2 linked regions of the Neodiprion lecontei genome follow. The main gene of each other region encodes a partner of the protein of the gene in region 2 in a complex. Links are inferred from orthologs where the notes say so. Each region holds a gene or a part of one and is shown on either strand. Other genes may lie near its edges. The genes, in order: huntingtin-interacting protein K and probable N-acetyltransferase san.

The links.
Region 1: probable N-acetyltransferase san (region 2) and huntingtin-interacting protein K share a complex: the UniProt entries of both Homo sapiens proteins name them as parts of the N-terminal acetyltransferase E (NatE)/HYPK complex. The link is inferred for Neodiprion lecontei from reciprocal best matches to the Homo sapiens genes NAA50 and HYPK.

Annotation. Positions count from the first base shown.
Region 1 is NC_060263.1:7,160,878-7,164,609, forward strand, and holds huntingtin-interacting protein K, read right to left. Parts: upstream 2,152-3,732; 5' UTR 2,050-2,151; coding exon 1,894-2,049; intron 1,621-1,893; coding exon 1,513-1,620; intron 959-1,512; coding exon 863-958; 3' UTR 697-862; downstream 1-696. Other genes in the region: uncharacterized protein LOC124293900, read right to left, coding at 2,643-2,782. UniProt on the Homo sapiens protein: Component of several N-terminal acetyltransferase complexes. Inhibits the N-terminal acetylation activity of the N-terminal acetyltransferase NAA10-NAA15 complex (also called the NatA complex).
Region 2 is NC_060265.1:27,202,305-27,205,142, forward strand, and holds probable N-acetyltransferase san, read right to left. Parts: upstream 1,753-2,838; 5' UTR 1,544-1,752; coding exon 1,536-1,543; intron 1,397-1,535; coding exon 1,240-1,396; intron 1,067-1,239; coding exon 900-1,066; intron 791-899; coding exon 613-790; 3' UTR 515-612; downstream 1-514. UniProt on the Homo sapiens protein: N-alpha-acetyltransferase that acetylates the N-terminus of proteins that retain their initiating methionine. Has a broad substrate specificity: able to acetylate the initiator methionine of most peptides, except for those with a proline in second position.

The sequences.
Region 1 (3,732 bases), on a different chromosome or scaffold from region 2:
GTGAGCATACAATTCGTTTTCCATTCAATTATAGCAGATGCCGTAACTATATCAAGCCCTAGTAGTTAAGCTCATTTACTTAAATAACAGAGTCCTTTGTGTCATTGATGAAATTTTCTTGTGTTGATTACAGGCCATACATGTAAGTGGTCGTTTCAAAGCTGGATTATGATAACTACGATAATCTGACGTGTGGATTTAGTAGTCGCTATATACATTTTTTATCACTGTTTGGTAATTTCAGCGATTTTAATTGCGATGAAAAAAGCAATTGGCATTGTTTATTGAATTAAATTTGATATTTTTTTTTCCAACACAAATAATTAGGTGCCGTATCATTTCACAATTTGACAATTTTCGAGTATGTGTAAATCATGATAGCAATAGAATTTTTATAATGTTGCAGTTGGCTTTTGAAAGACAAGATCAACGACAATGCAAGAAAGAATGTAATCTTGAGGCAAATTACTGGTTTCTCCATTTGTAAAGTAAGCTGAGGGCGACGATTTTGGAATTTTCATTCGGCATAATTTCCTCACAATTATAGTGTAAGGAGAAATGGAATTGAAACGTTTCGATGGAACATTGATCAAAGAATAACACCAGATTTGGTACAATCTTATACGTTAACAAAGAAAGAAGATAAAGATGACAAGTTTGATTCGAGTGGATGAAAAATTATAAGAAGTTTGTGGATTTATGTATTTTTTTAAAGTTTTTATTTTATATTAATAATAAATATTCGTATTCAAACTTCAGTTTACAAGTTCCTCCCTCGTTTTCTATGTAAATATATACGTTGCGTAATTTACAATAGTGCTTGGAATAATGAGAAGCTAATATTTTCATAGATAATCTCAACTCAGTTGGTCAGAGTAACAAGGGCCTCAACAACATCTCCTCTGTGCTCTCTTAATGTCCGTTCAGCCAAGCTTCGACTTATTTCCATCTCTTTCATCTGAAATATCCAAACAACTACTGTAAAAATTCTTACTACAATTGGTAGGGTTCACTGTAAAAAGTACACCAACGAGAATCCCTACAAATAAAAATACATACTATCAAAGATGGGAGTAGTAAATAATATATAGTGTAACAGTGAATTGCGATCTCCAGAGGAGGTTTCAAATGTGTAATAGTATTCTATTTATCGAGAATGACAAATTTATAAATAACTGGAGTATAAGATTTCTTTGAAGCATATTTCTTCACCTCATGCCACAGGTTATAAATTAATTAATTGCTCTACTACCATAGTTTTGATTGAGACTGTTTGTAATGGGTTTTAATCTGTTGTGTATGACACTTGAAACTTGCGAATCAGGAAGTAAGGATGTGTCTGAAGTAGATGAAAGATTTATTTTGATAGAAGTATACATTGCGACGTTGCACAGAGACTTGAGGTTAATATTTTTGCTAAGATTGTAGTTTACCTATCAAATTGTATCCCCTCAAACAGTTACAAACTGTTCCAGTGAAAAAATTTACAATGATTATTCTTCAAATACTTACGATAAGATCCACATCGTCTTTATGAATGGAGACCTTGAGCAATTCTTTCTCTTTAGCAATTTTTTCAGCTGCTTCCTTATTCCGTCGATCTCCGATGATGGTTAGCGCCTAAGTTAAGACAATGACGATTATCATTACACTGGTGCATAGCGAAGAATTGAAGATAGGTTAGGTTCCATTTAGACACTTTTGAATGGCGTGAGAAATTTGTCGAATCTTTGAAACGAATAACAACTTAGCATTTGAATTAATACGAGGAAAATGGAACAATTTGATGAGGGAATTTATTTGTAACTCAAAACAATGCGTGTATGAAATATGACGATGATTATGGTATAAATGAATGGTTCAGATAGTGTGGTGCACGTGGATTGAACTTACGCATGAGAAATCGTCTGACGAAGAAATTTCCTTCTCCTCTGCGTAATCCGTTACTCTTTCCAAATCCGCAGCACCACTATCATATTTTGCAGCTTTCTTTTGTGACTTTTCCTGCTGCACCTCGTCAGAATCCCCATTCACATCTTCGTCCGCCATTGTCGAACACAGATTGTGGATTTTTGTATAGCACTAGCGTTGATTGGAGATGTATAAAGTTTGCTATCCTTATGGGGCTTTCCGTGAGCGCAAATGGACGAGACAAATTCATCGTAAATTCATCGTCAAGCAGCGCCCTCTGCGTTGCGCAACTAAAGTAGGCGAACTGTCGGTACGTATAGTCTTTAAGGCCGAAAAGACTAATGTTACCGTCACGTGTATCCAGAAAGATAATGCATTGTCGGATAAGTCTAGCTATTTCGAATTCAGGCGTTGACTGAAGAACATAAAGACGGATACCCCTGGATAAATTTTTGTGACCAGTTTTCGGCGGGCAAGTGGGTCCAGGTGGGCCTGGGAGCCTACCTAGAGGAGTTCTGCTCTATCGACTCTCTCTAACGAGCTTGCACTGACATTCGTAGTAGCAAAGAAGTTTCGGTATCAAGGCTTCAGATTGAGTCAGTACAAAGTGAGTACGTAAGACTTCTTGTCGACTGCGACTTAGAAATGTCGATCAGCTCGATTATACCCGTGGGAAGAAGCGTAACCGCGTCCGCCAGCAACCACCCCCAATCACCATCAACCTCCGCCGATCATCTCCGACCAACTTCATCCTCCTTGTTCACCTTGTACCCCTCCGCCTCCTGCTCGGGCCACTCGACGTCGCGTCGTCCTGGTCCTCCTCGACCACCTCCGATCGCTGCCGACCGCCGCCAAACACCTCCTACGTTGGCTGAAAAATATAAAGACAGTTGTACTTAATAGGATTTGGTGTGACAACCGAAAATCGTCGTGCGCTCTCTCTGAGATGTTCCAACGGTAGAGTTGAGAACTTATTGCAAAACATCAGAGAGGTACCGATTTCGAAAACAGTGATTTAATTACAGTATAGGTACCCGAGAGAAGAATGGATACATAGATCATGAATAATAATAGATCAGATGTAATAATGATGCAGAGACCAGAAAGTATATATGTATATGCGGTCCATGTACGATATTAATCTGTATGATCCCTTTACGATTAATACGTGACGCATACTATAAATTTGATAATTTTTCAGGAGGCAAACTAGATTATCTACAATAATACGTCTATGATATGAAAATAGAAGAAATATTCATTTCGAAATGGGATTCTATTCGACCCGCGCTCGATGTATTCCATAATATTAATATTGATAATCATTCCAAAAACTTTTCATTTGCTCTCTCGATCTTAAATTATCGTGGGCATAAAATCGAAACGCTATTTTAGCTAGTCGCAAGTGAAGTATCTACGTCAGGAAGAGAAGCAGAATTGTTTTTTAAAAAGTGTTCGTATGGAAAAACATTCAGAGTAACTGTAATACATCACGGATACGCTAATTTCAATCGAGATGAAATGGATGCTCCGTATATGAAACAGTATTTAACACGGTGTCCTGATTTAAAGACCTAAGAGGGTGATTGTCGACGATTTTTTTTTTTTTTTTTTGATAGGGAAAGACCGAACGAAGCTTCTTAAAACTTCAAGTGTATTTTAACACACATTTGGAAGGTACGAATAAAATATTTTATCATCCAACAGTCGCAGAATGGCAGTGTTATTAGCTGACCCGTTAACTGAAGAATATATTTTTAGTCAACGGCTGACCACCGAGGGACTAACCACTTGAGTTTGGAATCGGCAGTAGAGATAAAG
Region 2 (2,838 bases):
TTTCTATACATGAATTTAGTCAATTTAGTTGTATTCCAAAATACGGTCATAAGCCGTACAGGACAGGTGAGATTCCAAAATATATGTAAGATCAAGCAGCTACACAATAATTCAAGGTGAAATCTCTTTGAAGTACTTATTATGCTGGGAATGTATATTGAAGTTTTCCAGAAATAATTCATGTGTTATTGGTGATAAGTAACAAATACGTGACGATGCTATATTTATATTACGAACCGGTGAAAGTTACGTGAATTGAAGAATTTCTCCCTACCAGAGTTGAATTTTATCTATGTTGTAACAGATGTAATTGAAAAATTATGAAGCTAACTAAATTTATCTATGTTGTACACTAACCAAACAATAAATGTTCGAGTTTTTTTAGTAAACACCTAGATCGTGTTCAATTTTCAGTGTTGACACTGTTTGTATGTGGTTCAATTCGAATTGAAATTGATTAGAACTGTCCATTTTATTACTAGTGCTAAATTTTTCACGATAGGTTATACAAAAATTGGATATAAGGAACAATTTTTATTGACAATTTGTACAGCAGATAACATTATACGATGAAAACAGATGATGGAAGATTGATACATGAAGAGAATTTATTCATTGACTTGCTGATTGATTTTGATGATTAGCTGTTGTTGGCGGGCGCAAAGTTTTTTGTAACACATGTGCGTCTGCAGGTTCGATACGTTTGTAGTAATGTTTTTTCGTTTCAACAACTTCAAAGCCGAACTTTTTGTAGAAATCAATAGCCCCCTCGTTGTTAACTTGTACGTGGCTGATCAAAAGCAGAAGCAACACGTTAATAAAAGAACTTCATGCGCTCAGTTCAATTTAGACTATGTGTGGAGATTTTGTAAATTAAATAAGTAACTCAAATAACTTACAGGAATATCGAGTCAAAATTCCCGTCTTTAGAGACATAATTAAGTACATGTTGTACCATAACAGTGCCGATCCCCAGTCGTCTATAAGGGTACAAACATCCCAAAGTCATTATATACAAACGGCGCGAGTTCTCTGAGGTATCTACACGACAACACACAGCCCCTACCTGAAATTAGTGTTTGAAGATAAACTGTTTGAAAATATTTATGCTAGTGACATCCGAACTGTTTCATACGTAAATCTGTGTAGCTGGGATTGGAATACCACATGTGTGAAAGGAGACTAAATTTTGCTTGTCAGGGATATATAATTATCTATGAGTCGAATTAAATAACATACCACAATGTCATTATAGTAAGCGAGTTTAGCCAGCTCGCCAGCCTCCAAGACGTCTTTGTAGAATTTCTCGTTATACGAGACAGGAAATACGACTTGATTAAGCAGTTTCAATTGCTTTATGTTGTGGGGTGTAACATCCCCCAATTCTATCTTTGATCTGTGCGTTGATAAAGGAAAATAATTATTGCTATATAGTTGCAAGGTATAATGGGCAAAAATATTTTTAAATACAATTCGTCGAGCATGCAGCAACGGTCGGCAGTCTAACCTCAAATTTGGGACACACGGTTACTCACCTTGTCATTATACGTTAATAGATATTCACCTATCTCAAAATAAATAAATTTCTACAAATAAATGCGTGAAAACGCTAGTCAGGTAAGGTACTGTAGTCGTCAATAAATAATATTCAGATCAAAATGAGCGATTCGTGCGGTACTTCGAATCCCTCCGAAAATTTCGTCTGCAGTCGGAGCTAGGTGAAGGTGGTAAAGATACGAATAGGCGGGATAGGGTTAGTGGACGCCCTGTGAAGATATCTACAAGCAGTATCAGTCAGCAAAGTAGAACACCCCTCATGTCGACGTACCGACAGTCAAAATTGCGATGTTCTTTTTTTTTTTATTTTGCCGCTCAACCGCTAGCACAAGCGTGATTCTGCAGCGGCTGCCTTCAGGTAACTCACGGAATTCTGGGAAGATGAGAAGTTCGAACGTGCTTCGGTCGCGTGCTGAATGTCGAATTTGTGCGAATTTCTGCTTAGTGTGAGGATTTTTTTTGTCATTAACCCGGTTTGTGAGGCTGGCATTGTGAACTGATCGTCAAATAAACAGTTCAAAGTCACCAAGAGGATCGTTTCAGTGAAGTATGCCTGCGACCGGATTTTCTAACGCTGAACAAATGACGATAGCAATTCGACTGTTACGTACTTCAACTGTATGACTAAATTGGTGAAATATTTTCGGTGAATTCATAGAAAAATCATCCGATGCTATTCACTTCAGGACGTTCCATTTTTATTTCGTCGCGTTTATTTCGGGTACGAGAAGTGATATACGATCGCTACAACAAAATGCATAGGTATGTCTAATAGTGTCGTAGATATTTAATATTTGTGCCGATGTGATGAGTTTTTTGTTATTCTGTTGCGTAGTTCATTTCTTAGTGCATCAAAAGTTACTGAAATATTACGAAGAAAAAGTTTTTTTTTGACACGGACAGTCTTTAGTGACGTAAAAACTGTCGCGTGTGTAATGAGTGTGGGTAAAATTCTACTATTTCCTTATAACAGCCTAATTAGAAGTGTGTTACCATTCAACCTGAACAGCTACTACGAGAACTACTACATTCAAAGTATGGAGCAACCTGGAGAAAGTAAGAATACTTAGGGTGATAATTTTTTAATAACTCAAAATAGTCCCTTTGAAACCGAATTTTTGTCCTTGAATAACATGCGGTGAATAAATATGGAAATAGACAACAGTGATAATTAATTAGAGTAGTGAAAATCTCCAGCTTACATGTACGTCGGCACTGTTTGCTAAATTAACTCGAGTTTTGTTTTTTGTCGTTTCCAGAGTTAAGCAGAGACATCCGAGT